3 linked regions of the Bombyx mori genome follow. The main gene of each other region encodes a partner of the protein of the gene in region 3 in a complex. Links are inferred from orthologs where the notes say so. Each region holds a gene or a part of one and is shown on either strand. Other genes may lie near its edges.

The links.
Region 1: GATOR2 complex protein MIOS (region 3) and protein SEC13 homolog share a complex: the UniProt entries of both Drosophila melanogaster proteins name them as parts of the GATOR complex. The link is inferred for Bombyx mori from reciprocal best matches to the Drosophila melanogaster genes mio and Sec13.
Region 2: GATOR2 complex protein MIOS (region 3) and GATOR complex protein Iml1 share a complex: the UniProt entries of both Drosophila melanogaster proteins name them as parts of the GATOR complex. The link is inferred for Bombyx mori from reciprocal best matches to the Drosophila melanogaster genes mio and Iml1.

The regions. Positions count from the first base shown.
Region 1 is NC_085131.1:3,990,535-4,001,780, reverse strand, and holds protein SEC13 homolog, read left to right. Parts: upstream 1-5,315; 5' UTR 5,316-6,132; coding exon 6,133-6,702; intron 6,703-7,091; coding exon 7,092-7,463; 3' UTR 7,464-7,529; downstream 7,530-11,246. Other genes in the region: small GTP binding protein RAB8, read left to right, coding at 3,452-3,553; uncharacterized protein LOC101741756, read right to left, coding at 4,198-4,560, 4,640-4,783, 4,863-5,036, 5,106-5,165, 5,244-5,315; DNA polymerase epsilon catalytic subunit 1, read right to left, coding at 7,968-8,135, 9,107-9,239, 10,159-10,331. UniProt on the Drosophila melanogaster protein: Functions as a component of the nuclear pore complex (NPC) and the COPII coat. At the endoplasmic reticulum, SEC13 is involved in the biogenesis of COPII-coated vesicles.
Region 2 is NC_085116.1:10,868,102-10,878,985, reverse strand, and holds part of GATOR complex protein Iml1, read left to right. Parts: intron 1-161; coding exon 162-362; intron 363-921; coding exon 922-1,074; intron 1,075-1,520; coding exon 1,521-1,676; intron 1,677-2,190; coding exon 2,191-2,205; intron 2,206-3,598; coding exon 3,599-3,816; intron 3,817-4,396; coding exon 4,397-4,608; intron 4,609-5,491; coding exon 5,492-5,666; intron 5,667-9,181; coding exon 9,182-9,379; intron 9,380-10,549; coding exon 10,550-10,633; intron 10,634-10,884. UniProt on the Drosophila melanogaster protein: An essential component of the GATOR subcomplex GATOR1 which functions as an inhibitor of the amino acid-sensing branch of the TORC1 signaling pathway.
Region 3 is NC_085114.1:15,833,731-15,844,614, forward strand, and holds part of GATOR2 complex protein MIOS, read right to left. Parts: intron 7,263-10,884; coding exon 7,074-7,262; intron 6,640-7,073; coding exon 6,501-6,639; intron 6,428-6,500; coding exon 6,289-6,427; intron 4,954-6,288; coding exon 4,752-4,953; intron 3,686-4,751; coding exon 3,486-3,685; intron 2,775-3,485; coding exon 2,702-2,774; 3' UTR 1-2,701. UniProt on the Drosophila melanogaster protein: An essential component of the GATOR subcomplex GATOR2 which functions as an activator of the amino acid-sensing branch of the mTORC1 signaling pathway.

The sequences.
Region 1 (11,246 bases), on a different chromosome or scaffold from region 3:
TCTCTGACTAGGCTACTTGAAGTGAGTGATATAACTGATATACCTACTAGATCAATGCAATACGGTAAAATTCGATCCCATATTTCAAGGTACGCTATTCGTGATGTCTATGAGTTTCAGTTTCAGGAACACGGAAATAAATTATTAATTTAGTTTTGCTCCTTTCACATCTTCAGATTTTCCATAAAATAACAAGTTTTTTTTTTTAAACAGTTCGTTTGGATTGTTGAGTATACGTCGATAGGGGCTGCAGTATAAAAATATATATTTTTAATAGCGCTTATAAAACTTTAGGCTACTCATAGGTTCCAGATGAAAAATAAAATGTTTTTATTTTTTAATTTACCGACCTACAGAACTTACCTTTGTCTCTGATAACTAAATCGACTTCAAACAAACTACAAGTATGATATAATGCTGTATAGAATCATACCTATCAATGCTACGTATCGTAGTTATCTGATTGAATTGATAAAATCAATTGTAATGGACAGCGTAACAAGAATGTGACTCGCTTTGCCTTTTGTATTTATACGACGCAACCTATAAAAATGTTGCTAGTGGAATGTGTTGCATTGAAACCATAGACTTATTTTGAAGTAAAAAAAAAACCGTAAAATACATAAAATATGTACGTATTTTTTTTTTTTCAAATGATTATCCTAGCCGGTATAATAACCGGCAAACTTCTTGAGCATTTGTTGACGTAGTGGGGGTAAGTTTGCGCATGGTACACTCACGTGCAAAAACATTACTTACTCTGCGTCATAATGCTATTAAAATTATTAAAATCAACATATGTATTTATTTATATATTTATTAGAACATCAACAAAACATATAGGTTAATAATTGTAATAATTTAATCTTGGGGTAAAATAGATATTCCTTTTATTAAGTCAAAACTAGAGCTGTTGCCAGGTCTTGGTTCAGTTGAAGCGAAGCTGGTATTTGTATTATTTTTTTCGTTATCATAATCTTGACCATCATCATCATCACTGTTTTCATCACCCGAGTCGCTATCATCGTGATGAGTCGACATAGGGCTCATTGGCGTAGTTTACAACTCGGTCGACTCGGTCTTCTTTTTTGTCTATAATTAATTATTTTTTGAAGATATTCGATTCGTAGTAATCGAATGTTACTTTTTTCATTTACCAGCTTTCGATTATTTTCTGTTCTTTTTTTCCATCTGAAGCCTAGCTCTTTCATAATTCGTCGTAAGCTTCATTCCGAGCCATTAAAATTTATATCTTCTTTAAATTTTTCGAAGCCTTTCTACGGTACGGAGTTTCGCTGCTTGTTATGTAGTTATTATGATTACATCTTTTTATTACAGATTGAACGAAACTATCCATTCCGGTAACTTTCTTCTTCCCTGATCTTTTCTTACCCGGAGTCCGCAACACGGCGAGCAAGCCAGAGCCTTTAGCTTCGTTAATAATGCACCTGACAGTACTCACTGATGTTTTTGTTGCTTCCGAAGTCTGTTTTACTTTTTCCATATCATTCTTCCCCTGTTTTATAATGAAGCAATATACGTCGTACACAAATTTTCTACCCTTTCTTTTACGTACTACACCAGTTTGTCACGGCATAGTGTATGTTTTATAAAAAATCAACAAACACTCAACAAATAGCAATGGCAACAAAGTCCACAAGCAATTATAACAAATCACTTAACGATTAATAACGATAGACTTTCCACTGTACGCAAGCGTACTTTTGGGAGCAAGCGGAATGAGGGCGCGGTGCGGGACGCAAGGTTCGACTGATCTACCAATAACGCGCTCGATACGATTTCCCCTGCCGTCGCGCCTCACCCTCACCACCAAAGTGATCTAAAATTCGGTTCTGCGCAGTCAAGGTCATTTGCTCAAGAAGTTTGCCGATTACTATACATAGTGTAGTATTTACCAGTACCTACTAGAAGTAGAAGTAATTTATTTGCCGGATTAGCTTATTAGATAATGTATTATTAAGTAGTACTTATAAATGTTCTCAAAGACCAATCTAGATCGCGGTCGAATTCAGTAGTTGTTCAAAAATAATCAAAAATAAAATTAATCATGATTACCGAAACCAAAAATTAACTGAACATAAACTGTACCCGTCATAAAAAATTATCACGTAACGCGATAACGTTATTTCATATAGAAACCAACCTTATACTTGTGCATCGAGTATTGCACGTAGGCGTTTTTAAAAGATTTCGTAAATATGAATGAATGGAGAGACATTTCTTGCTGGTGGTCCACAGAGAACGTTCTGAGACCGAACGCGTCGGAACAATTTTTGAAGAAGTCGTGCATTCCAATTCGTACGATAGCCGCTATTAAAATCAAATGAGACTTCGACCTGATACGTCATGATAGGCGAGCAGCAGTCACGAGTTGTGTTCAAGTCCAGAGTGCATAGTGCGAGTTTTTAACGTTCTCGATAACGTAAAAGTTAACTCAAATTTGTATGCAGTTAGAACAGCGCCTTTGGTGGCAAGCGTTCCACACGAGCACACAGCAGAGCCGTGAGTTCCACTGCCTAAACGCGCCTATAGAGAATAAAGCTGAAATTAAACAACACACAACTAATATATTATATATGTTACGGTAAATGTACACTCTTGGGAAATGTACACTTACTGGCAATGGCGATTTTGTATTTTGTATGCCACGCTCACATATTTTACCAAAACGACATGGTCATTGTGAATTCAATGTACATTTCCCTTCTTTGAAATTGTAAATGTTAGTTGAATGTACATTACCCAAACGAGGAGGCAATTGTGCACATTTACCGTTAAATGTGTACATTTGCCGCAATATGTACTTTTACACCGGTCACTCACATGCGCACGAATACGCAAACCCGCAAGTGTAGGACGACATTTAATTTTGCAAATGATTATGCAAAGTTTTCGCTGCATTCGTGGTTTTCCAAGCTGTGTCGGTTTTTTAACAGACATCAAAGCGCGCGAACCGCGAACCTTCGCGTAGTCTCACACACATTCGTTTGCCCAGTTGCGTCGACGATTGCGGAGGTAACGGAAGTATCGCCATTTTCATAGTTCGTGACGTCTACTGTGTAGCGTATCTTCATCAAAAGAAATCCCATAAAAACAGCATGGCTGTTAATGATGTCTGGGAAAAAATTCAAAACTCTTTTTCTCTTCAATGTTCTATTGACGAATTAAAAAGGAGGATAAATTCGTGAGATATTCGTGAACAAGTGTAAGAGGATGCGCAAACGGGTTCGCAAATTGAGTACCGAACCCATTTGCACAGCCGCTAAGTTTGCGAATGAATGTTTGACGGCCCTTCACATGCGCGCAAACATTCGTACTATGTACGAATATTTGCCCGCATGTGAGTGGCCGGCATTACCGTAACATATAGATCACGATTGTTCGTTAATGTTATTAGTGGAAATATGCTAAATTGTTGTTCTGATAATAGGAAGCGAGTAATCCGTCGGGCGGTAGGAGTGGCGTCCACAAGCCGACGCTGAACGACGCTCGCAAGCCGGTGACGTGGCTGTCGCGTTGCAGCGTGCTTTGACCCCGTCTGCACACTACGACCCCCGCCCCAGCCCTATTCTAACATTGTGGTACTTTGAACTGCCCACCTTGACTATATTTTTCTACCTACTTTACTTGACGGTGCGTTGACCTCCTGCGGGGATGAGACTTGCTTTTGTATTTTTATATCCAAGACTACGAATACATACTTAATTTCGTCTTTGAAAATAAATAAACAGTATTGTGCATTAAATTATCTGTAATCGGTTTGTAATTTGATTTTGTATTTAAAAACTTAAAATTTCACGGTGTTATGTTCATATCAATTTTAATGGTAAAAGGATATTATTTCAATAGATTATTTTAGCTGTACTTTATCTTTTGCTACTTTTTAAATTAAGATTATATATTATATATATATATTTTAATGTAATATAAAATGTACACTATTTAATTTGAATAAAGAGCTTTTTTTACATAAATCTATTTTGTTTCAATAAAATTCCAATTTAAGTAACGAATTAGTAATTTTTATTTACCAACATTAAATGTATACAAAGATAATTTATTTCACTATATAAATGGAAGGAACATCACTAGTTTTGAAGAGAAACCGAATAATTATAATTGTAATAACTCATTTGGTTCTTTTCTGAACTAGACTTTATACGAATGTTTTTCATTTCATGATGTTTGTACTTGTTTAGGTTTTGACCTGAATGGAATTAATATTAAATTCTTTGTTCCTATTAAAGCACTTTTGGTGGTAAATTTTAACAGTTGCAGTAACTTCTTGGCTGTCAATACAAATAACTCCAAAGTAAGCTGTGAACCTTTTCTCCAATAAACGATATATGCTGGAATTGGTGGGAGATTCTCAGACCAAATGCCGTTTCTGAGGCTTTTTGCTTGTGCTTCTGCTGATAATAGAGCAGGGGCAATTTGTGACTCAATGGTATTCTTTTTTAATTCTTTAGGAAATGATGCTTTTGCAAATCCAAGCTCCACCAATTTTTTACCAATATCCAATGTTTGAACATCTTTACTCTGAAATGGAAAACATTTTTGAAGAGTAATTTTTAATAATTTAAGGTATTTTGTTGAATTTGTTTAAATTGAAATATACCTTAGGCTGAGGTAAATGCAATAATACAGTAGAAACTAGATCATCATTATCTCTTCCGATTGGCTTTAATGTCACTTGCTGGCCCCTAGCAACACATTCCAGCCAATTGACTGCATTCCCACTAACTACTTCAATTCCCCACAGCTAAAACAAAACAAAAAGAAAATATTTTTATTACTTTGTAGGTAAATTTTCGTACAAGTTATATTTTTATCACATTTACCTTAACTGGTAGTGGAGGTTTACTGGAATGCCATAGCGGTAAATATATTGGGGCTTTGTGATTGACCAGAACACGAACTGGTGAATGTTGCACTCCAGCATATAATCCTTTCAAAGGTTCATGATTTCTGATGAAATGATCTGGAACTTTACTGGCTTTCGAAAACTTGCTAACCTATCGAAGTAATTTTATTATTTATAGTTATGTAATTATTAATATAGGGTTTTTTAAACAAATACTTACAGGGCGAATCTTATGAACAGATATGGCGAGACCAGCGGTGGCTAGAGCATATACTGCTATCTGTAAACAACAATCAGATGATAGTGCTTCGTTTACAAAGTTATTATTATCAACATCAACTTGTAATTATCTACATACGTTAACCCCGCGATAATCTTGTTGTAATAAATATTGCATGTTGTAAAATATTCCTCCTTCTTTTTGAGACATTTTGATGTCTACAGATACGAAATTCTCATAATTTCTTAAACTTTCGTAAATTAGCTCATCAATATTTTCAATCCAATTCTGAATTTAGATGAATGAGAGAAAAAACAGCTTCAGACTTGTCAGAATTTTTGTTTGATTCTACTAGAGCTCTTTATTATCTTTGGTTAACTACCAAATGTAACCTGACACAGTGTTTAATCTTTGGTTATTACTTACATAAAGCATAGATTTTTTAATTTTTTTGAGGCCTAGTCTTGATATGTCAATAAAAGTATCTTCATACAGTTTAGGTTTAGCTATAAATATAAATGCTTAAAACTTTTGGGAGATACTTCATAAGTAACGCGCAAAAAGTAATAAAGAAATAAATAACTTAACCAAAGATTGTGCTAACCTAAGGTTAACAAATAATACCAAAGAGGTAATTTATGACCTCTAACACACGAGCGGCATTCTGGCACTAAAATATTTGTGCTTTTTTGTAGACTGTGTTGGAGCTATGTGATCAATAATCTCGAATCATCAAGAAAATCTCTAGCTTCCATAACAAAATTGATAAAAAGAATAATTCAGTTGTAGCGTCGCGTATGTTGAAGCTGCAATTTAATTCTGCCACTTTTTATTATTATATTGTTAAACTTACCTAATAAGTTTAGAGGTGACGCACTGCGACTGTCTTTGCAATGTCGAAATAGCTCGTGTGGATGGATACAAAATATTTTACTGGTAGCACTGTTGAAATTCCACGTCAACTGATTTGACAGTTGATTGCCCATTTTCCGTTGTGTATTGTGTAGGTTAATAAAAATATATAATAATGATCACTGTTTTGAATACTATTGATACCGGCCATGAAGATATGATACACGACGCCGAACTGGATTATTACGGACTAAAACTAGCTACATGTTCTTCGGATAATTCAGTGAAAATATACGACATTAAGAATGGTACACAAACATTGGCTGCTGATTTGAAGGGTCATTTTGGCCCCGTGTGGCAGGTAGCTTGGGCTCATCCCAAGTATGGGAACCTATTAGCGTCATGCTCTTATGACAGGAAAGTTATCATATGGAAAGAGTCTGGAGAGTGGACTAAACTATACGAATACACTGGACACGAAAGCTCTGTGAACTCTGTTGCGTGGGCGCCGGCTGAGTACGGCTTAATCCTCGCTTGTTGTAGTTCAGATGGCTCAATCTCTATCATACAATATTCACAAGATACTGGTAATTGGGACGTAAAAAAGATAACGGGTGCACATGCCATTGGTGTTAATTCTATTAGTTGGTGCCCAGCTTTATCTGCAGATTTGAACTTAGATCCGCTTACCAATAAAGATGCTCCAAAGAGATTAGTTACTGGAGGGTGTGATAATTTAATCAAGGTATGTTACAAGTTGTGTTTAATTGTTTACTGACTCTGTATTACAGTAGTTAGCACTCCTAACTGTTGCGCCACAGAGAATCCTGATTTGGGGCCAGATGAATGTGTGTGATTTATTCCGGGTTATTTATTTATAAGGCAAAAAAAGAAGGCAGCAATTTTTCTTTTCACAATATCATATATTGCATGCATTAGTTAATTTTAAATGAAAATAGATATATTTCAACAATAATTAGTTGAATTTTTTTAATATATCTACCTAAAATTACCTTGTCCTTTATTATCGATATGTTCTTAATAAACCCTGTATTTAATGATTACTATTTAATGACATCATAATGCTTCTTAATTATAATTTTTTTAGTTAGTTATTCCGGTTGTTGTTTTCAGATTTGGAGAGAGCAAGGTGATCAATGGGTTGAAGAGAACAGATTAGAGTTGCACATTGATTGGGTCAGAGATGTAGCGTGGGCACCCTCTCTGGGATTACAACGTTCCATGATTGCCAGCTGCTCCCAAGACAAGAGGGTTGTCATATGGTCTAGTGATGATAATGTATCTTGGACACCAACAATATTAAACACATTTGATGATGTAGTATGGAGTGTTAGCTGGTCTCTCACTGGCAACATCTTGGCTGTATCAGGAGGAGATAACAAAGTCAGCCTTTGGCGTGAGAGCACTGATGGCCAGTGGTTATGTATTAGTGAAGTTGCCAAAGGTTTGGGCCAAACACCCAATGATGAAAGAAGCACACTTTGAATTTGCTTTTAATTTCATTTGTTAATTTTGTAATCTGCTAATAGTAATATAAAATATGTACATTAACACTGATCTTTTATAAACTTCATCAAAACCCAGATTTAATCTATATATTCAATTTGATAATCCAATAATTGGGTTGTGACATATCTAACAGGTTTTAAATAAATTGCTATGATTATTATTACTGTATGTATTGAACATGGGCTGAGGAGATGAAGTCACTATTGTCAATGTACACAATAATTTTCAATTTGATAGTATATTTTATAGAATTTAAAGAGATATTTTTAGTTTAAAGAGAAAAGTTCACATGTATACTTGACATGGAAATAAAAATTAGAGAAATGTACTTTTCACCTTGGAAAGTATGTTGCCATATGTCGCCAGAATAACTAGAATAGGTAAAAATATTTGGGTTCTTGTCTTAATTGTTTGTGACAATAGAAATAAAACAAAGGGACATAATATATATAAAAAAAATTATACTTAAAATACAAACTATCACATGTTTTTAAGATTAAAGTCAATTTGTTCTAACAATAATGGCATCTGATAATATTCGGCTATTGTCTTAAAAGTCATTAGTTGGTCTTTGATCTCTGTTACGGGAACCATCAGCGAAAAATCTCCAGCACAATCACAGACCACAGACAAATTCTCACGTTTTACCTGGAAGAAATATACATAGATTCAAATTCCGCAAGTAACCAAACATTTTTTCCTAGTCTTTATATATGTATATGCAGTCTGCTCACAATCCCATAAGGTATACATTCCTTTATTTCTTCCTTTAAAGAACCACATCAACTTCTTACTCGGAGTGCTAAAGAATGTTATTTCTTACTAAAGGAGGTTTAATAGAAAGCTGTAGTTGACTTTTACACACCATCATTAAAAATTAATTATTCTATGAAAATAGTATTATTGTAGTAAAATATTAAAAATAATGAGCTTTTGAGATGGGCTTCCTCATTTAGTCATTTTGTGATGTGGCTATGGGGTATTTCGATTTAGCTTAGTCACAGAATAATTGAAATTTTTTTTTTCTTTTTTTTTTTTTTTTTCCCTACCTAAGCTGAGAGCCTTGAGAGGCTATATCAGCGTAACCCTAACTTTTGTAGGTGAGCTCACGGGGCTCAAACCTGATGACGTTGCTAACACGAACCCTAGCAAGAGCCGTGCTTCGCAGAATCTACCACCGGATCGGAAACGCGACCCACTGAGAAGATCCGGCGAGAAACTCAGTGGGCTGTGTCTGAGAGTTAATTTACTCGTCGAGCCCTTCGTCGCAAGCGACGGGTTCGACGAGAACGGTGACCGGTGCTTGAAGTACCTAGAAGCACCGTTAGTGGATCGGGAGGATCCGAGATGACGTGTTTTAGGCGACGTCGACGGCTTTCCATTCTGTCCGCAGGATCGGGAATGTAGTTACCGGCGGCCACGATGAGAGGGTTCTCGTGTCGTGCCGCTTTATCGAAGTGGGATTGAAATAATTAACACTCCATTGCAGTGTTTCCTATAGTGCTAACATACTTATTAGGCGCTGTTACGTCTGGGCAGCCTTAAAACTTACATCGATAATGGTGGGTGCCGGGTGTGCATACTCGAACAATGAATGTGTAATATTTAATTATTAATACCTGGTGACATCGGCTACATATAAGATCTTGCAGCGTATACGCCATCGTACGTTTGTTCATCGTCTCGATTAGTCGCCATTCTATTTCCTGATTATCATATGCTGTTCCACAAGTTGGACATAAACACGCCGGACTGAAAATAAACATAACACAATGTTCTACACGTGCTTTAGAAATACTGAAATTTCAGCTCTCTCATAATCTACAAAACACATGTTTGGCCAGATGATTGGTCACTTAATTATTCTCAAAAACATTGTTTACTATTTAATCTAATATTCATTAATAAAAATAATAAAAATGGTACGCGTGCAACTTGGTGCACGTGAAAGAAGTGAAACTTCTTTTGTGTTGTGTGGTATTGTGATTTTCTTCATTTTTCATTCTTAAATCTTTCTCTTGTAATAGTGATAGTGTAATAGGAACTTTCGCCTTTGCCGTTTCCCTCTCTCCACCGAGTCGAGTGGTTCACCAGACGCTATCTATTTTCTCAATCTCGCTGTTCCTAAAATCTGTATCTTTCTAGCCGTAAATCTGTAGAGAGTTAAATTTTACTTTTAACGTACCTAAAGAAGTTTCACTTCAATAAATTAGTGTTCTCGGCTAAAATTCGATTCGATTCAAATCGATTTAAATTCATCATTCGCTGAATTTTTTTTATTGCCCTTGTAGGCAGACTGGCATACGAGCATAAACTCTTTCGAATTATTACTAAAACAGGTTATTTGAATTATCACTGAATCGTGGTTGGTGCGGGGTTGGGTCGGTTACCGTTCCGTCGACTATCGCCTCGACGACCCGTCGGTCGGGCGTCCTCGGGGTAGCGTCGCGTATCTGGTTGTAGTGTTGACCGCGGGAACCCTCCTACTCTGACCGGGTTCTGACCCCGGACGGAGATCGGACGTCGGGTGTAAGAGTGCAGGGGAGTCGTTTAGTGCGGTAGGGCCCTAAAATTCCTTGGGCCCGCGGTCTGCTCCCAACACTTTGCAGATCGTCAAGTCCCACATACCATCGTAGGAGGTTCGGCCCAGGCCCGAAAAAAAAAAGGTTACCGTTCCGTGTCGTCTCGCGCGTCCCTGCACAGGTCGAGGTCGCGGCAGTGGTTGCACACGCGGCACGTGAGCTCGGTCAGCACGCACGCGGCGCACGGCTCGCGCCACTCCGCCGCGCTGCTGAACTCGCCCACGCCGATCAGACGGAGCAGGTTGCGCCGCACCAGCGTCATCTGTCAGGTGTTTGTCACATCTATACTGGGTGCATGGAGGGTAGAGGTAAGGAGAACCGACGCTGTGTGTGCTAAATAAGGGTGGCGCTACTGTAGCAACCGGGTAAATTTTAAAAAAGGCGCTGAAAGTTATCAGAATAACATAGAGAAATAAAAAAGGACGAAAGAACTGTAAGCACTACAAAATCACAAAAAGTATTTTATTTAAAGCTGATAAGAAAATGCAATCGATGTCTCCATGTTTTACCACAGCAATAATTTTAGGTTATATTGACGAAATTCGTTTAGACTACGTAAACATGTGAGGTCTTGTATATTACATTGTCACTAAATACATTAAATTTCCTAACTCAGCATACTACAATCAGTTAAAAACTGCTCAATTCATACCATACCCTGTGCCTATGCTAGCGTCATTCTGGAGGATTTTTGAATCGTTATTTAGTGCTGAAAGTCGGACACTTTTTCAAGCTTCTCCCATAGTCAGACGGTTCTCCTTACCTCCACCCTCCATAATAATAGTGTACAAACTTATAATTTCAACTATTTCTAGTCGAATTTCGACTACCGGGGTCTACTAGTATAAATAAATTAAAAAACTTCAATATCATAGTCTTAAGTTGTATGTACTCGAACCTTTCACGATGGATAAACGAACTCACAGACTCGCTCTTAAGTGTACCGGTCATTGTCGATATAAAAACGCCAATGCCGCCTTGAGACGTGAGGTCCAAATCTCAATTGTATATTATAACAGTTGTCTCAACGTCTGCTAACATAATTATTACATCGCCTCGATGTTGCCATCGTATTTTCCTCAGAAATAAACTAGGATAAAACGTATTAATACAACAATTAGAGAATTTAAAGTTACATACGTACATCACGTCCAAATTTAAGTTGATAACAAGCGTG
Region 2 (10,884 bases), on a different chromosome or scaffold from region 3:
AGCTTGGAGAGGGAAGTCAAGAGAAGCATCCAACTGGGCTGGGCGGAGTTCGGCAAACTGCGTGGAGTCTTTTCATCGCACATCCCATAGTGCCTGAAAACGAAAGTTTTTTTATCGCTAAAGTGATTTAATTTAATAGGTCGCCGTGGATTGGTTTTCAGACAAGTCCGCAGGCTACGACGCGGGCAGTGACACAACGGACTCGCCGATGTCGACGAACCGACTCTCGCCGCGCAGTTCGATATCTTCAATCAAGCCCGTTATCAGGACGGGCAGGGCACTCATCAACCCCTTCGATCCCTCGCATGTCACTGTCAAACTGACCAGTAACCGTCGAAGGTGGACGCATATATTTCCGAAAGGTTAGTTGAAGTCCCTAATTCAATTATTGACACCTGTCAAAGTCATTTTTACCGGTGTGAGGGCGTCTTGTGAACTCGTACGCGTATGTATGAGTCAAAGTACGAGGTAGGTCAAATGTTATGCCAATACGAGTAACGCCATCTGTTAGAAGTAGCGAAAACGATTACCGAAACTACTAGTAAGTACTGTCTTTACTTTCTGGAAATTTTCTGGAAAATTTTAGGTATGTCATCTAAATTGCAAAAGCGTTGAATAGATATAAAGTTTAACAGCTAACGGAACACCAGAAATGAAGCGACAGTAGTGAATTGTGATCTTGAAGTCTACATTAAGTGCCGGCATAATTGAATGAAATTGTTATTAGTATTTTGGTGAATTATATTATGTATTTTGAACCACAGTGTGTAAAAATAATATATTGATGTTGTGCCTTTGAGGTCCGATAAGCACTTACCACCAGATGGATCGTAATCTCATTTCCCCATATATTAATAAAAAAAATTAAACTAAAACCGAACGTGATCCTCAGACCAAATATAATGCAATTAAAATTCTCAGGTCCAACTGGCGTATTGATACAGCAACATCACTACCAGGCCCGTCCCGCTGGCGAGCCGGCCCGCAACGAAGAGCATCGCTGCGAAAGTAACACACCAAAGGATAATGGTTCCTCGATATTAAACAACAACCATTCTATATATCAGGTTGACGGTGAGTGTGCGCAATGTGCGTCCGACCTAATCGCCTTCAATGAAGGGCTCGGCGAGTAAATTAACCCATAGACACAGCCCGCTAACTTTCTCGCCGGATTTTCTCAGTGGGTCGCGTTTCCGATCCGGTGGTAAATTCTGCGAAGGACTGCTCTTGCTAGGGCCAGTGTTGCAACACTTCCGGTTTGAGCCCTGAGAGCTCACCTAAACGCTAGAGTGAAGCTTATTTTTTTATTGCTTAGATGGGTGGACGAACTCACAGCCCACCTGGTGGTTACGCGCCATCCACCTTGATACATAAGTTCTAAGGTCTCAGTTTAGTTACAGAAGCTGAAATAGTCTCTCATGGCTATCAGCATAGTTAAAAAAACCGAACCTAATGGATAGATATCAGTAAACTAATCTATACCACGGTATCTAGGAATGTTTGTAACGTTTTTGTAACAGGCAACATTATGTCGCGGAAACGCATGATAAGTGCGTCAGGAACGTTAGCCGTGCTCGGCGTGTCCGGGGGGACTCCCTCCACGACCAACAATGCGTCGCTCGCGCTGCTGTGGGGGGCTACGGGCGAACAGGAGTGGACCCCCGCTCTGACGACAGGTCGGTATAAAATTTATTCAATTTTCATTTTGTGTGTTTTGCGTGATGAGATTGGCTTCATAAAAAATGCTATAACTTATCTCAAATATAATGGGTTTTTTTTAAATTGCATTTATAAAATTGTTAACGGTAAATTATAACATATTCATCAACGATATACTATTGTGACAACAGAATATATCTTCTTTTTTTTTAAATAATTGGCATTTTCATTTTAACAAACCAATCTCATCACGATTCAGTCTTCTATTAATTTTATGGGTTGGCCTATATGATCTGTTATTTAAAATAATGAAAAAAAAAAAGTATTTTTACTTTAGACAAGTTGAGTCCAGACATAGGCCAGTGCATACGAGTTCACTTGCTTACTTTCGGCTCTTAGAGCTGGCGTGGCTATTGAATATGTTTTTTTTTTTTTTTTTTACTAAACGTGTCATCTCATTTTTGATGTTTCATGACATCGTCGCATTGGGATATAACTTCAATACCACACGGTTTCGATTGGGAACAAAAGCGAACCGCGCCATAGGTTTGATATCACAATTTCATGAATAGCTCATACAAAGTAGTTTATGTGTAACGTTGTGTTCATATTTTATATAACGCTGTGGGGATTCCGTTTTAATGAATTTGCTTTTTTATTGTAACTAGAATTCCGATGTCACCTTCACAATTCAAACATACATAGCTGTTGTAAATAAAGAGATGTATTTGTGCGTACTGCTTTCAACGCATGAAAAAGCTAATAACTTAGTTCTAATACGAATGACTCAGATGAAAATTGCAATGTCGGGTTTGTTTGTCACAGTATTTTTTACAGCCTGACCGAAATGATGTGTTTAGAACGACTTCGACTGCTTACCATTCGGTCCGCAGGATCTAGTTACCGGCGGCTACGACAAGGGGGCTTTCGTGTCGTGCCGTCTTCTCAAAGTAGTGCACTGATACCGACTGAAAATATTTGCTGATGGAGTCAAACTCCAGATTGTCTTAGATATCCACGTTCCTTATGAACCACGCTGCTCCGACGGATATACTGAAAAAAAAACGGTTGAACGACTTGAAGGGGTTTCAAATTAGTGGGGGCCGCGTGGGCGAACACTACGCTTGCATAGGTCATGACGAGGCGTCAGCAAGTTTTGTAGAGTTGCACCTTATTACGAAGGGACAATTTTCTTCGCTAAACTTCCCTTGCAAATCATCGGATAGGGTTGTCGCAGAACGCTGCGTCTCGTGAGAGTTGCTCTGTGGTCTCAAAGCAACAGAGAATTACTAAATTGTAATTTGCGATTGAGTCAAGCGATTTTTTTAACTTCGACATACTACAAGCTGTGTATAAATCACCTAAAACTTCATTTCATACATTATCATGAAGTCATCGCACATTTTATTGTAGCATTCATAGTTTTTTTTTTAGTTTAGTTTGCTTATAGTTTAGTAGAGTCTAGTCTTATTTTTCATCTGAGATGCATGAAATTCTAGCTTACCATTTCATTTTATTATTGCCATCTATAACTGTGTTCATTATTTTTAAATGTTTCCCACTCATTTTTTTATTATTAAGACATGACCTTTTTTTCTCTTTAAATTTGTTGTTAGATGAAATTGGGTAGTTTATTCAATATATATCTCTTTGGTTTATTTAAAATTGATTTTAACAAGTTTTATCTGCTTATGATGCCTTGAACATTTCCCAAATGTTATAATAAAGTTAATAAATTACCGAAACAAATTCTAGATCATAATTCGAAGATTTCTCGAACTCTGAGAAATATAAAACAATTAACTAGTGAGAAACTTGAATCAATTGACCTTCATTAATTTGTGATTGATAGACAAAATTTGCAATTTATATGGAAGCTTCCCAGGTGTAGGTTTGAGAAAAGAAGAAGGTCTTTAGAACTAACGAATTCGTTGTTTAGGGGTCGACTGGAAGTCACTGACCATACCTGCCTGCCTTCCGATCACTACGGACTACTTTCCCGACAAGAGATCACTTCAAAACGATTATCTAGTATCGGATTATAATCTGTTACCGGACGACGTGAACGCCGATTTCGCACAGAACCGAGCTATATACAAAGATCCCCTGACCACAATGGAAGTATTCAAGGAGTTGGTCTCACAAAGATTAGCTCAGGTTAGTATTACTTAATTATGTATTACTAGTGTTCGTCCGGTTATTAAAACGCGACCATTATCACAAGACACTTCAAGCTAGTCTACAGATTTATTTTATGCATTATAACTTATTTTTTGTTTTGTTATTGAGATGTATACCTACTAAATCAAGCCAAGAGCTATTATAAAAAGAAAAGAAAAAAAAATGGTTGACGCATAAGATAGAATGGTACTTAATTGCTCTGTCTTTTCTTATTTAAATATATAATTTAAATTAAATAGCTTTTTGTCAATTGTGGTATTTCTCAGAGTAATTTCAAATAATTTGGCTACTTATTTGGCTTGGATTCCAATGCCCAAAAATATCTTTAAAAACTACCGCCTTTTGGTTTTATTTCGCTCTAATTTTTTCAAGACTTGCACCGCGGATCTACTAGAGGTAAATTTAGAATCTTCAATATGAATTTGAGGACTCTGCTCTCGTCGTCTTAGCGAATTATTCCAGGATATCATACGGAAATCGCTTTTTAAACCTGTTCAATATACATAAACTTGTGTAAAAGTTGAATAATTTTATAAAAAAACCAAAAAAATTTTAGGGTTTCCAGCTGATTGTGGGTGTTAACGAGAATGAAGTAATCGAATCTCACTGTGCGTCAACGGCGACTCCCCCACCATCCAAAGTGGCCCCACAGTGCGGGAAACCAGCCAACGCAGCACCCACCAAGCGTTACCTGCTCTCGATTGGGAGGATCTTCCACAAACTTACGCTGGTCGGGTCCACCATCACCGTCACTAGATACAGACCCAGGTAGAAGATTTTTAGTTATCAAGTATCCATTTTCGATGAAAACTTTTTTAGCACCGTCGTAATTCAAAGTTGAAACGAAAAACACATATGAGCTATACGATGTAGACTTGGAGCGAATGAAATGAGAATACTTTTGCAAGTTCTCTCAAGAACCTACTGCGTGGGAACTGCACCCTTTTTTTATAATCGGTTGCAGTTTTGTTTCGATTGCTAGGACAATGTGTGGAGATTAAAGCAAAAAAGTATTAACAATAATAATAATAATAATAATAACTGGGAACAAACCACCCACGGTCATCCGGCCCCAATTTAGGATTCACTGTGTTTTGGGTACCAGAGACTGACAAACGAACGTTTAAATAAACATGTGTAATTATTATATTACCATAAATGAAAACACTCTCTCCGTAATAAGTCGTCGTCATGGAGTCGGACGATGGAATTGAGACATTCCCTTAATCTAAGGGTAACCATATCTCAGTTCGGGGTCAGGCGAGGGAGACCAAAGAAGACGACATTTAAGCTGCTGTATAAACGTTTTAAGAAAGAGCAAAAAGGCGACAGATGTCTTTGCGACCCACGCTGGTTCTGGCCATACGGGGTGATAATAATAATAAAAACATATATAGATAATAAACACCCGAAAAAAGAGCAAACAAACTTATTCGCCACACAATGTTTCACTCCAGGTGGGACTAACTAATGCATGCAATTGTTAGGCAGCGGCTTGGCTCTGCCCCTGGCATTGCTGAAGTCCATGGGCGACGGTAACCACTCACCATCAGGTGGGCCGTATGCTCGTCTGCCTACAAAGGCAATAAATAAAAAATGCACTGCCGAATCAATCAGTATTTGAAGAACATTTTTTAATTTTTTATTTCAGACATCCATATCCGCCATTCAATATACACTACCGTTATCGTTTCCACGCACCGAACCACGACACGTACGAGGTGTCGTGGGTTTCGTTCACGACAGAAAAACTGGAAACTTACTACTGGAACTACATGGACCATTACATTTGTACGCGCGGCGACAGTGATTTCGCACTAGTTGAGGTAAGTCTTGTATAACACTATTCATAATTGAGACTGTATTATCTATATATTAATACGCGTAGCAAAAACTTTGTATCCCTTTTCACCAAAATTGCGCGGACGGAGAAGTAACAAATTTCCTACACATATAGAGGAGTGCAGAATGTCAATATTTGTTTAAATTATGCATAAAAAATACATTAAATCAACAATAAAAAAAAACATTACACACCCTACCATGTATTTGACACACACACGTACGCATATAGTAAGCGGCACGTAAGTTGGCAAGGTTTTGGTGTAGTGGGGGTAATGTTGCGCATAGTGCACATTGCAACAAAAAAATGCCCGCATATAATTTAGTTTTATTTTATTAAATTTAAAATTTGCCATAATTTATTTTTAAGCCTGTGTGTTGAGAAGAAAGTTAAAGAAAAGAGAGGAATTCGTGAAGTGTATTAGGTGTTATAAATAAAATACAATTAAAAGTTAAGAAGTATAATTTAAAAAATATACTTATTATTAAAAATTATGTGTCGCCGTCGTCACTATCATTTACTAATAGTGCTACCCCTTGGATTAAATTTATGGTAGCACCTGAGCTGGTGGAAGGAGTTGGCTCCTCATCGTCGACATAACGAAGAGTTTCTGTCGTCACTGGCGTAAATAATAAAACGCCCAGTGACTGAATCGACTATATGGTCATTGGTATTTGGTCCTGGCATTGCAAACAAACTTAAAACAATAATAACAATTCGTAACAAAAACTTAACATAGATAAAGGGTTCCTACAACTTTGTAGGCACATGTGTAACCGGGAGCGAACGGAACGTGGACGCGGTGCGGGAGGGGAGGGTCGACTGACTCACCAATCGCGCGTTCGGAACGGTGCTACGTCTTTCCCCGCGTCCCGCTTGACAACCAAAGAGACCTAAAAAACGACTTCTGCGCATCTAGCGACTCTTGTCAAGTTACGTGCCGGGGACTATACCAGTTGTTTATTGTCAAACTTATTGCTATTTATTGCTATTATGTGGTCAAATTGAGAATAGATTAAATATCCTTTGTCTTTATTAATATTTGCTTGAAGTGTAGTCTTGGCGAAATCTGTGATGATAGAAGTATAGACTGTGACAATAGAATCATAATAGTGTACAAACTTATAATTAATTAATTATTTAATTATTTATAATAGTCGAATTTCGACTACCGGGGGCCCACTAGTATATTTTTCAAGTGCTATTAAAACACTTTTCCCTAAGTGTTTTAAGTTATGAAGTTTAACAAACACCCTGTATATTAAATGAAATTAAACATTTCTTTATTTACCTAGTATATATTATTTTTATAACAACGCGTCAAATTCGAATACGAACACTAATGTGCTGGCAGGGCGTTATGCGAGCTCGTATTCATCATGGGTCTTTCGAATTTTTCCCTTTGAGACATCGACCTCATGTGTCAAGGTGGATAGCAATATTCGCTGTTTGATTTGTATGTATGTACCCTAGTAGCTGCATAATAACACTACTTTACAAAAAAAAAGTTTTTCTTTTACCCAAAGATAATTCATATTGGGCGTGTTTTCTACTTGCCCCCTTACTACAAAAATATATGTCTCATAATTTTATCACGTCAAGTTTTTGATATAACCACATTCACCAGAATTCACCTAAGTAAGCTGCCTTGTTAGCCGTGTCTGAGTTTTTAGTTTGTTTTTATTGCGTTTAAGTGTTATTCAAACATTTATTTTTGTTTTAAAATATCATCAAGGTAGTGTAAATTAAACCCAAATAACTTTTGCTATGTTTGTGGTCAAATTATTTTGCCAAAAAAGAAGAGACCAATCACTGAATCACGTAAAAGGAGCCTAGTTCCATTACTTTCAAATCGGTAACAAACCTTGATAAAAAATGGGTTCCTGGTGTAGTGTGCGAAAATTGCAGAAGTATATTATTGAACTGGGCTGCAGGAAAAAGAAAACATTTACGATTCGGCATCCCAATGATAGAGAGATAGAGATGGAGAGAACCAACAAATCATACTACTGACTGTTACTTCTGCCTCACTGAAACTACAGGTTTTAACAATAAAAACCGAAAGCACATACAATATCCTGATGTTGCATCAGTCACAAAACCTGTGCTACATTCTGAAAAAGTTCCTAATCCATCATTACCCAACTTACAGCTATTACATCAAACTGGGATTAATGAAAAACTTTGTCAAAGCACTTGACAAAGATGGACAAGCTTTAAAGTATTTAAAAACCATTTTACCTAGTTTATCTGATGCAAAACTCAAAGAAGAAATCTTTGTGGGTCCCCAAATAAGTATACTCCGCGCGCGAGCTCGGAGGATTCGGGGGCTGAGGAAGCGGGCGGGCGATAGCAGTGTTAATTACGTGTGATTTCTAATATAAATAGTCTTACACTTATAAGTCTTTTTGTTTACGCAAATCGCTATTTAATTTGATGAAAAAGGATTAGAGGAATATTACTGGCAAAAGGATGGCTTAATGGAGGATGTTGTCGAATCATTTATTATTGTAGTATGTGAGGAGAGTGACATCAAGAGGAGAGTACATCAAATTCTTCAACTACTGATTAATCTGATTGCGAGAGTAATTAATAAGATTTCACGTTCATTTTGTTCAATAAAAATCAGTTCATTAAATGAAATTCATACGTGATCAATTGTTTTATTTTTATTTCAAGTACATAATACCCTCATAAAACTATTTTATAATTTACACTCGCACGGAGGCTTAAGATGTGTTAGTATCGATAGCGCAATATCGACTAATCACAACACTAGCTCATTACGTCAACATTCCTTAAAAATCCTCGAAGCTCGCGCGCGGACAGTAAAATATTAAAGGATGAAAATTTTGATGGTAACTTATCCAATGTCGAAAAAGATGATTGGTATTCATTTAGAGCATTAGTGAAAATTTCGAAACAATAAATCTGAATAGGAAACAATTAAGCAGAAATTATTTCCAATTTACTGAAAAATTACCAAAGAATGAGAGTAAATATGTCGTTAAAAATTAATTTTTAACATTCTCATCTGGACTTTTTTCCGGAGAATCTGGGAAGCGTGAATGGTGAGCATGGCGAACGTTTTCACCAGGATTTGAAGTTTTTCGAGGGAAGATACAAAGGATTTTGGGATTAAAAATATGTTAGCGAATTACTGTTGGTCTATAAATAAGGGAAACTGATATGAATCAGTATAAAAGAAGAAGTAACACGACCCATTTTTTATTTGTTTCTAAGATAACTGTATAAAAATGATAATAAATAAATATAATCAATATTTACAAAATTGGACGTCCTAATTTTTTTTCAGCTTCAGTTTTTAAGTAAGGGTTTATAACTCTAACGTACATATCAGTTTCATCTCTGGGTAAAAAACCTTGTAAAGTAGTGTAATTTGCATATAATTGCATAGTGGGGTACAAGTTTTTATTTATATAAAAAGTAAAGAGTTCTGTGAATAATAATATAAAGTTTCGAACATTTTTTTTCAAGCCTCTGAAGTACTGGCGGTTCCGGACTCTACTATTGCCTCTCTACAATCCGGCAACGAAACAAATTCTCGAAGACGATTCGACCCACTGCGACATATATCCAACTCCGACGCGTCATGATTTGGACCAACTAACCGATAATTTCCTCAAAATGACCGAATTGTATTTCAATAAAGTCAAAAGGCCAAACAAACAGAGGGTAAGTATATAATGACATTGGAAATGTTGGTGAAAGTCAAATTCTACTTTTTATAGGACAGCTAGACTTAAAAAAAGTAATATAGGACATATTGACGACTGATGTCTATGGTTTTGCTAAAGTAAATATAGATTATTGAAGCATTATGAGATCACTAGTTTTCACCACAACAGTAGTGTAACTCAAAATCTTCATGCCAGTCTTAACGGCTAAGAAATACAATTATTTAGCCTAGACTGTGTATTATTTTTCAATCCATGATCAATTCTGACGTATTTAAATTCAATGTGGTTAATAAAAATAAAAACACTAAATATATAGTGTTCGAATTTTTGTATAGCATTTTATGCATTGTGTTGTATAGGTCACAATGTATGTACATACATTTTTATATGAATATAAAAGAATAGCATGAAATTAATATGCACTTAATATAATGACACGTAGTAATTATGCACCGCATGGTATTTTGCACAGTCTTCTAAAATGTCTAATTCATTGTAGTTTTGCAAATATGCTTGACTGTTTATACTTCTAGACTAGTCCAACAAAAATAATCTATGATAAAAAGCTATGATGTGTGCATTTTTTGTTTGTCATTAAAATAACCATGTACAAAATGTACAGTATTGAACTGGAGAAACGATATTTGTATATGACGATATTCGATTCTGCACGCATTATCGCTTACTGGTCACTCAAACAAGAAATTTCAAATTTCACAGTCGATGCCTCTAAATTTACCGTCCGCCGCATGCATGATTGTTCGCAAACAATAAAAAGGTTAGTTGTTATTGAATGATTGTTTTAATCATAATTTGCATTTCAACTTTTGCGAGGATACAGATTATGACATCAGCATGGATATTTTTTTATTTTAGTTTACGAATCAGTTGCTGTATATTATGTTATTTTTAATTTCCTGTTTGAGATCCGAACGCATGATTAACACACGAAGAATAAGCTTCATCGATATGTTTCGCACAGACCCTATCATTTGTTTTCGTCCTGCATACGTTTATTTAAAGAGAAGCTTATTCTTTGACGCTAATTAAAGTACGGTTAACGTGGTGAGTACGAGCACGGCCCACACGTTCGTTGGTGCGGCTCGGTGCGGTCGGGCGTGTGAGACCGAGTGAGACGGGACAGTGTGAGACGCGCGTGCTGCAGATGGCGGGCGCGGGCTGCGGCGCTAGCGACGCGGCACTCACGCGGCGCCGACACTCCACCTCCATCCTCACGCGGAGCGCACAGGTACCGCCCCGCCACACGCTCCGACACTCGCTATCTCTCTCGCACACACACACACACACTCACTCATTCACTCACACACACACTCAATCACTCACTCCCACTCACACACACTCACTCACTCACTCACGCACACACACACACACACACACACACACACACACACACGCGCGCGCACGCACTCACACACGCGCACGCACGCACGCACTCACACGTCAATATGAAGTCCTCGTTTGTACACGCACGCACACGCG
Region 3 (10,884 bases):
CCAGGTCATTTTTCCCTTAAAAAAATTACATTAACAATTTGGCTTAAAGGTCTAGTAGCAGGCCATAAAATTACAAAAAAAATACATGAGCAGTCCGTCGGAAGAGGGAACGTACTCTGTATTTAATATACACATAAAACTGTTAGCTGCTGTTGACGAGTTTTACAGATTTTATAAAATGACAGTAATGAAAAGGTGGGATGTCTTTACATGGTGAGCAATAAAAAATGTAACACATTCAATGAATAAATATTTCGATGTGTCCATGATTATGGTCGAATTTCTTAATCGCTTTTTAAGGTGTTGCCATTATCAGTGTTAAAAAAAGACTGTGACTTGTGCTTGTCCTGCCGTCTACTTACTGCGTACCATAGTAATGGTGGAGGAGGAGGAGGAAGACTTGGATGGAATGGGTGATAGAGGAGGATGCAAGAGAATGGTGTGAGTGCCGAGATGACATATAGTAGTAGGTCTGAATTGATAAGGCCAAGATGAAGGCATGGTGCTCATTCCAATGTTCGAATTGTCGATAATCCCATTCTCACCGATTGTTTCGAACCTTTGGGTCTGCGGAGGGACTTCGCTTCTCTCTGTATTTTGTACCGTATGTTCCATGGGTAGTGCTCTGCGGTATTATTTGAGATGATTCTATCATCTCGTTTTTACCATCGCACTGCCCGCCACCGGAGTAGAGTTCATCCATACTACTTGGAGCCACTGCGTTCATCCACAGTGCATTTCTAGAGATCCTTTTTTTGCCATGCACCATCCGGTTTTGAAATGAGCTCCCCTCCACAGTGTTTCCTGAGCGCTATGACATGTCCTTCAAACGAGGCTTGTGGAGAGTACTTAACGGTGGGCAGCGGCTTGGCTCTGCTCCTGGCATGGCTGACGTCCATGGACGACGGTAACCACTCACCATCAGGTGGGCCGTATCCTTGTCTGCCTATACGGCATTAAAAAAAAACGTATCAATACCACCGAGTCTTTTAATAAATCATTTATATTTTTTCTACGACCCAAGTACATTTTCGGATTAGAATAAGTCTTAAAAGTATCAAGTCATGACTATATTCATGCTTTGAGTTCAAATTGAAAAGTGTTGTAGGTTATCAATAAGATTACAACAAAACTGACCTTTCAGAAGTAGTAGTTCCATTTTTCCCACATGGCAAACCTATCACGCCATAATCTAATCCTAATCTTCTGTATATTCGTACTGTTATATCCCTAACCTGTATAGACTAATGCTTACCAAACACCTTACTCATCATAAGCCCTCTCACAGTGATTTCATGAGAACATACCAGGCTCAGTTCGGGTCAGATATTCATTGAAGTGAGACGTTTACCAATTTTCCTCATTATTTCTAAATTCTTTTATTATAATTAATTATTCATTAAAAATATTGTGTAGTGTCGAATAAATCCTTTTTTAAAAAGAGTTCGGCCTTCTCACTACTAACAGTACGAACATTACGAAAAATAATAATGTATGTAATGGTTGGATGTAATGAGAAGTTTTCTATGTAATCTGAGACTGTAATGAATTTGGATGAAATTAAATGAAGCGATATGGGATGAAATAAAGTCTCAGTAAAATTGTGGTTATTTCCTGAAACTTCACTGAACTTTTTGGAACAAACCGAGAAGCCATATCCAGCGACTGCGTTTCGTTTTCTCACATTTATACACTTTCACAGATGCTAAACAGTTAATAACCGTCCTTTATTAGACGTTTAAGCCGGAAGAAAATTTAATTACAAAAATTAAACCTTGTAAAAGTTCGTTTGTCGCGTTTCCGCCAAAAGTCGAGTCCTAATATATTAAGTGTATAATCTATGGTCGAGTCGTACACAGAGTAGTTAAAAATATAGACCAAAGTATATGTTTGAATAAAGCCTATACCTAAAGAGGTCATTTGCACATTGAGCGAACATGAGTCATTACAAAATCCCGATGTACAGACAGATCACACTTTTTGTTCAATAATGACTAGTGAAGAGCCCTCCTACTGAATCTAAGCTCTTACCTTAAAGTACTAAGTTCTAGTATAAAAATATATATTTCTGTAAAACGTTCTTATGTTTAATTAGTTTTCCCGAATTTACTTCGATACAATGAACGTGGATCCCACAGGCCTTGTAGCTTTTAATTACTAATAATGATTATAATAATCTAGAGTGTGCACTAACCGTCAGATGAGCCGTATGCAAGCCCAACGGTGATTACTTAAAAAAAACATAAACAAAACGGATCCTTAATCCGGTCGAGTACTCTTCGTATATTTTATAAAGGTATTTTATCTGGGTTCCCAGATCACAAGCTACTTCTCACACGCTGGCGTGCGTCCCTCGCTAACGGCTCTGTGTCGAGCCTCAGTGGGCACTCATCGTGTCTCAGATATACAATTCATTGATTTTCTTAACCTATAGAAATTTATAATATAATAATAAAAAGTATAATGAACAAATTGTGTCTTTACATAATTCATTATGAAATTTCGATTGATTTCATATTTTACTATTAACGACATTCGGAGACAAAATTGGAGATTAAACCACAATAGTTTAAATATTCAAGGTTATTTTTTCTTTTGATTTGTTTGATCTTAATTACTAAACAACCCACAGATGAAATAAACAAAAAATATCACCAAAGAAAAACGTGTGTTCAGTAGATAGTCGGTCCCCCGGGGCGCGCTACAGGCGGTGGGGGGGGTCCAGGGTGCTGCAGCGGCAGTTGCAGGAGCTGACCGGGCACTCCGCGTGCTCCCTGCAGCACACGGGACTCATTGGCACGCGCTCCGCATGTTGGGAGCTGTGTCACTCTCATTATATTTTATTTATATTCATTCTATAACTTCGCTCTAACGTCCTGAGCCCGATGGCAGCAGCAGGGCAAAAACAATATCATCTTATTGTCAGTTTCGGTGTCATAAAAACTTTTTTTTTTTTTTAATCTGAATTTTTTTATTTTTTTTTATAGCTTAGGGGTCTGGACGAGCTCACGGCCCACCTGGTGATAAGTGGTTTCCGGAGCCCATAGACATCTACAACGTAAATGCTGTCACCCATTTTGAGATGAGTTCTAGTTTCAATATAGTTACAACGGCTGCCCCACCCTTCAAGCCGGAACGCTACTGCTTCACGGCAGAAATAGGCGGGGCGGTGGTACCTACCCGCGCGGACTCACAAGAGGTCCTACTACCAGTAATTACGTAAATTATAATTTTGCGGGTTTAATTTTTATTACATGATGTTATTCCTTCACTATGGAAGTCAATCGTGAATATTTGTTCAGTATGTATTTTATTAGAAAAACTGGTACCCACCTGCGGGATTCGAACACCATCGCATCGCTACATACGAATGCACCAGATGTCTTATCTTTTAGGCCACGACGACTTAAATATATAAGTTTATAATACTTGTTCGGAAACGGAGAACATTAGACAGAGAGCGCACGGGAGCGGGCGGCACGTACTTGAACCAGTCCATGAGGTGCGCGGCGTGGCCCCCGTGCCTGCAGGCCACGCACCAGCTGAACCAGCGGGGGAAGGCCGCGCCCCCAGCGCCGCCGCCCGCCGCGCCCCCCGCACCGCCCCCCGCGCCCGTGCCCAGATGCAGCGAGCACACGGCGCAGCGCGGCAGCGGCTTGCGGCAGTTCGGGCACGACGAGATTTGCTGAAACATCGCGCCCCCTGCTCGGAACCTTCTCGGAAACGTCTTAAGGCTTCGTCAAACAGAACGCGTAATTAGCGCGCATCAGAGCGCTACGCTATGACGCCGAGATGTGCTGTACTACTACTATGGTAACATACCGTCAAACAGAGCCCCAGCGCTAGCAGTACGCAAAGCTCTGTCGCGGCGTTAGGACGCTTTGACGTCAGGCATTGTAATTTTTTACAAATTTTATTTTAGCGTCCGAGTGAATGTATATTAAAATACTGGATAATGCCCGAAAAATTGATAGAATTAGTTAGGAAATATCCATGTTTATACAATGCCACATCTGAATCACTCGACATCTTGAAACTTTTTAATTTTCACACTGCTATCGAAAGGCACTATAATTTGGCGTTATGTTGCGTCAAGGAGCGTTGGGCTCGTCTAGTCAATTTGTGTGACATGAAAAGAGCGCGACGTTAAAACGCCGCGTTAAGAACGTGTTCTGTTTGACGAAGCCTTAAACGATAGTTGTTAACGAACGAGGCGCTGCCGCCCCCCCCCCCCTCCACGTGCCGCGGGACGCGCGCCATTTCATTCCGCCGCCGACCGGCCGTGCGATCACGCGCGCCCACTTCATACAATTTTGTTGGCGCGTCCATCACCAAGAAGCCTCCGTGATTTAAGAAAAAAACACGCGCGGCCATAACAAACAATTTGCTGCCGCGTGTAATTTCAAGAAGCCTCGTTAACAATAGTTATAAGTTCGATCTGGGTTTTTTGATTTGGGATTGACAATAATTGATTTAAAATGTTTATAACTAATTAATATAAGAAGTTAACGTTTTTTTTTCTCATTGCTCACGAGTGTTTCTGAACCCATAGACATCAATAACAAAGATGCCGCCACCCAGCTTGAGATATGAGTTGTGAAGTTCAGTTCTATAGTAGAACTGCTACCCCACTCTTCGAATCGGAACGTATTACTACTTCGCGGCAGGGGGGGGGGGGGGCGGAGGTACCGGTAACGTAGCATTTCATCACTATATGAAGTATGTAGGTCGCGGGGGAATGTTGTATTTACCTTCATCTTGGCGGCGGGCGGCGGAAGGCGCGCGAGCGGCGGGCGAGGCCGGGCCCCCGCGGCCGCCGCCACGGACTTGCCGCAGTAGGTGCAGGCCACGCACACGTGGCGCACGGCGGCCGCGGCGCTGCCCCCGCACACCCACGTGTCCAGCGCGCAGCGAGCCCACCACAGCCGCCAGCCGTCCAGCAGCCCGCGGTAGCTGCCCGTTACACACAACACTTCGCATTACTCTCTTCACAAGACTGCACTGCTGCTGCCGGAGTGCCGTCCTGTCTCAACGAGTCTATAGTCCTCGACAGCCCGCGCACGACACCGAGCACGCGGTGCGGCAGCCTGTCCTACCCGTCTGCTCCAATAATCGCTTGTGACTGAGAAAATTATAAACTCTTTTTTGTGAGCCCATCTGATGTTAAGTGGTCACCGGCGCCCGTATATGCAGTCTTCTGGAGACGTCGACGCAAGGTCGACAGCATAAATGATTCCACACATTCACATATTTTGCGGGTACCACTTTAATGTCCCTGTTGCTAACGGTGGGGTCAAACTGTAAAACTGTTCAATAAATGAAAACCAAATTTTCCATTAACTATAGTGTGCGCGGAAGGGCTAGTCACCGCCTGCTGTATGCGAGCGGCAGGGCGGGCGAGGTAGACAAACGTCAAGCTAACTCAGTCTGCCGTCGACCACCGCGGCGGTTGTACGATACAGTTGTTCTTGCCAGTTTGTTCCAAACATACACGAGATAAAATATCCTAAGATGGGTCCACCAATAACACGATCAGTGTAAAATGTAATTTACAATGTGCACAATTTTTTTTCTCAGACCGTAATTAGAATTGTAGCTGAAGTAAATTCGAATCGGCAAACATCGGAAAAATCAAAATTTACTTCTCCATGAAAACCTAAAAAAATAAAAAAGAGAATCTACATTGATGATTTCGACATGGGGGTATTACGATGGAAAATTCATAAATTTTTGTTGGTAAAAAAATCAAAATAGATAAATAAATAATTATTTTTTTATAATGTACTATAATGGTGATAGTTTTTTTTTTTTCTTTTTAAGAAATGTTCATTTGCTTATAAAATTGTTTTGTTTCGTAATAAAATATAATAAACACTTTTGAATATGCATTTTTTGTTTAACCAGGAAATAGAAAAATACAATATTAGAATTAGGCACCCATTACATTAATTCTAATATGTTATTCTGAGATTTATCTGCACTTAATATAATATCGTGTGCGTCTTGTCAATCGCGCTCTCCCCCGTCTCACCCCGCTACATACCTCAGGAGATGACCAGCGTTTCCGCGCGCACTACAAGTGCACTGTTATACAAGAATGTAATAAAATAATTTGACACTACCATGAACGCACGGCGCGTCTACGTATTGAATTAGGTATATACAAATCACAATTTAATGCCTCTTTTGCTAGCGGTGGGGTCAAGCCGTAGAAATGTTCAATCAATTAGTAAAAATCTATGATACTATGATAGTTGATGTGGGTCGGTGTGGGGCAGGGCGCGGTACCTGTCGAGCCAGTGCTGCACGTGCGGCAGGGCCAGCAGCTCCGGCGTGAAGCAGCGCGCGGCCAGCAGGGCGGCACTCTGCACGTCGCCGCTCGCGTCCAGCCAGTGCTGCAGCAGCGCCGCGCCCTCCGCGCCGGCCCCTGGACCACAACACCGCGCAGTGTAACACACGTGTACCGAGCACATCGCCGGGGTGGGCAGCCCGTCCCTCACCGGTGAGCAGCACGCCGGACAGGTCCCCGCGCTGCACGAGCGCGTCGGCCGTGTGTCGCACGTACTCGTGCAGCTTGCCGTCCGACAGGAACATGCAGGCGAAGGCCACGCGGTCCTCCAGCCGCATCTCCGTCTCGTTCTGCGGGCGGCGCCGCGGGGCAGATGGTACTCGATTGTTTTTAATCCGTATTATGTTACGAAAATGTTAAGAAATGGTTATTTTAATTGTGTTGTCATAACTCTTATATTGTTGCCAGATTTGTTTATTACATTAATGAATCACTAATGATAAGTGATTACCAAAGCCCAGAGTTCGCAACGAGGATGCGAGCCCCCTTGAGACTTGAACTCGGAGTCTATATGATATGGTACAACGGCTGCCCCGTCCTCCAAACCTGAACATGTGACCGGCGGGATAGTGGCACCTAATGTACGCTCCCCACAAGCGTTAGTTGTTACTTTAAATTGAATTCTCTCACTGCGATAGACGTGATACTTCAAGTGACGTTTAAGGGACGCATCAAGGGCAAGCGGGTTGGGGGAGCGGGTCGCGTTACGTCACAATATACTGACGAGCACGGCGGACAGGTCGGGCGGCGCGGAGGGCGCGTGCAGGGCGGGCGGCGCGGGGGCGGAGGCCGCCAGGAAGTGCAGCAGCCCACGCAGGTAGGCGTCGGGCAGGGCGGAGGCGCCGGCCGCCAGCGCCTCACGCCACAGCCGCTCCTCGCTCAGCCCCGCCAGCGCCAGCCCCACCACGCGGAGCTGTTCCAAACAACCGTAGTCACATATCACGAGGAAATACTTTATTTATTTATTTATTTAATACAAGGAGAACCAACAGCCAACTAACAAAGTATAATAATATAACAAATAATAGAAACAAAAAGCCAATTAAAGGTTCTCACCAATATAAACAAATTAAAAACACTAGAGAAACAAAAGCATAGAAACAAAAAAAAATTAAAAACATTCAGCAAGCAAGAAACAACATAAGGAATGGAGGAAAACACCAGACTAATTTAAATGTACACTTATGTATAAATGTCACAAATTAATTAAAAACTGTTGTGCTACACGTCACCGGCACATGGCCCCGCACCCTCTGCCCCCTCATCGCCCACGAAAAATCGGGCACTAAGCTGACGTCTAAGTCCTGTGATAGAGGAATAAAATGGGTCAATATCTAAGAACCTGCCAAGTCTGTTGAGGTCACCACCAACACGTAAAAAGAATGAGTTTTGCCTATAGTTAGTGGAAGCTAGTGGCAAAGAAATTAGATTTCGATGCCTTAAAGATATTCTCTGTGCATTGAAGCCAACTTTGGATAAGAGCTCCGGGCAATCCACCAAACCTTTAACGATCTTTAAATAATATATAATGTCGGAAACCCCACGCCGCAAGTAAAGAGGAAGTAGATGATGTTTTTTACAAAGGTTATCATAATTATTAGAGTTATAGGCAATATTTAATTTAAAACAAAGGTACTTTATAAATTTACGCTGAATTCTTTCAATTCGTTCTATATAGATATTATATTGAGGATTCCAAACTTGTGAAGCGTATTCTAAGTGACTGCGAACAAAAGTACAGTATAGTATTTTAATAGTTTTAGCTTTACGAAAATGTTGAGAGTTACGCATAACAAATCCAAGCATTTTGGAGGCTTTAGTCACTATAGAGTTAACGTGTTCATCGAATGTGAGTTTGCTGTCATGAACAATACCTAAGTCACGTGTACTATTAAGTTTAATTAGTTCATGTTCATTTAGTTTATACTTGTAGGCTATTTGGTTGATTTTTCGAGTGTAAGTAACAACATGACATTTAGTTGGATTAAGATCAAGTTTGTTTAGTAAACAATAATGACAAAGACGATCTAAATCAGATTGCATTAACTTGGCATCATTGATGGAAGCAACCTTCATAAAAATTTTCATGTCATCAGCGAAGCAGAGAAGGCGTGAGAATTGAAAGCACTTAGTGATGTCGTTAATGAAAATAATAAAAAGCAAGGGCCCCAGTAACGAACCCTGAGGTACGCCACTGGGAATAGGTACCCAAGCAGAAATATAATTGTTGATCACGACTGCTTGCGATCTCTTCTCAAGATATGATATAAACCATCGTAATAAGTCGCCACAGATTCCTACGTTCTGTAGCTTTGAAATCAGAATAGAATGGTTAATTTTGTCAAACGCCTTGCTATAATCTGTATAAATTACATCAACCTGTTTACCACTATGCATGGCATCAGTAAGATAATCATTTAAGATAACTAAATTAGAAACAGTCGATTTATTTTTTAGAAATCCATGCTGAGTTGAATTAAATACATTTTGCAATGCCGCGTATACTTGAGTATAAATAACACGTTCAAATATTTTTGAAATAATACAAAGTTTGGAAATTGGTCTGTAATTGGTAACCTCGAACTTAGAGCCTTTCTTATGTACTGGGCTAATAAAGGCCGATTTCCATATTGCTGGAACAGTGCACTCATGTAAAGAACGCTTAAAAAGAAGGTATATTGGCAAAACTATGCCATCAGAGCAACCAACGATAAATCTGGCAGGCAACTGGTCTGGACCAGCTGATTTAGATAGATCAAGATTAAGAATTAACTTATGTATTTCGGCTTGGTCCAAGTAGATGTTGTTTAAGTGAGAAGTTGCGGTGAAATGCTCATCGGCTATTCTAGGTGTCAGATTAACAGAGATATCACAGTCAAGAAAAGTAGATTGGAAATAGTTAGAAAATGCACTGCAGACTCCCTCAGCCGAACTTGAGATCACATTGTTATACGAGACAGATCCTGGCATTGAATTACACTTAGACTTTGATTTAACGTAGGACCAGAACTTTTTAGGATCATTTCCTATTGAAATTTCAAGAGAGTCAATATAATCATTGTAACAATTAGTTTCCAGTACTCTAACCCTGTCCCGAAGCACATTAAAAGAGTTTAGATCAGATTTATTTCCATAGTTTGAATATTTACGTTTATATTTATATTTTTCTTTGATAGCTTTTTTAAGAGCAGCTGAATACCAGACTGGGTAATGATCAGAGCCAGTTACGCGAGATGGTACATATCTCTCTTTGAGGTCGTTAACTGTCTCATAAAAATAATCAGTACAGCCCTCCAAAGATCTTGACTGAAACTCAACACACCAGTCAATATTATTAAGCTCTCTATTAATTGACAAATAATCACCTTTATTGAATCGATAGTTAGTGCGCGGTGCAGTTCTTAGAGTTACAAGTTCAATACATTTGAACGTAATACAAAGAGCCTCATGATACGGATCAATCGGGACCATTGGATCAACACACTTACTCACAACCAATGATTCATTTGAAAATACTAGATCCAGAATCCTATCATCCTTATTAGTTATCCCATTGTACTGAGCAAAGTCGTGAACATGCATTTCATCCACAAGCAATAATTCATCACTACTACGAGCATTATAAGGTGTAAAGTAACCAAGATTAGACGGCAGCCACGTAATGCCGCTCAGATTAAAATCACCAACAAGTAGGAATTTATCAAGTGAATTATCCAAAACAATGTTGGTGAGTTTCGTAAGATAATTAGTTAATTGTTCAGAGAAAGATAACTTAGAACCCTGTTTGCATAAGTATAATACACATATATGCAGTTTAATAGTTTCACGTTTCAACTTAACGATGAGTGTAACCCACAAATCTTCAACCGATGAGTTAAATGACGGCTGCAAACTAACTTTTAAATCTTTACGAGTCGCAATCAAAACACCGCCACCCCGAGATTGACCCGTAAGGTCACTGTTCCTATCCCTACGCCAAACTGTATAATGTTCATTAAATAATTCGCTATCTAAGATGCCATCAGTCAACCAAGTCTCAGTTAAAATAATCACATCATAAGAACACAATAGCAGGTTACGGCTAAACTCAAGAACTTTCGTCCGAAGTCCACGAACATTTTGGTAGTAGATATGAATACTATTCAGGACTGATTCATTGTCCATTGTAAGAAAATAGTTAATAACATAGTAAGTAAAATTAATATTACGCTGTGGTAATTTCTAGACATTAAAATTAAATAGTAAAAGTGAAAATAGTAAATTAAATTAAATTGTAGGTAGTATAAAAATAGTCGAAGAATATAACAAGTACCAAAAAACCCCTGACACTCTAGATCAGCGTTAATAAGCAGCAGATATGCAATACATTCGTGAAAGCAATTCAAATATATGTCAGTAATGACAACCTCAAACAGACAAGCAACGAGATATGAGAACAATAGCGGCAAAAGGCGAGGCGCCGGCCAGTGAATAACAACATGTGTTGTAAACATTTGGACCACGATTATAATTAATAAGTGTACATAACCTACGTT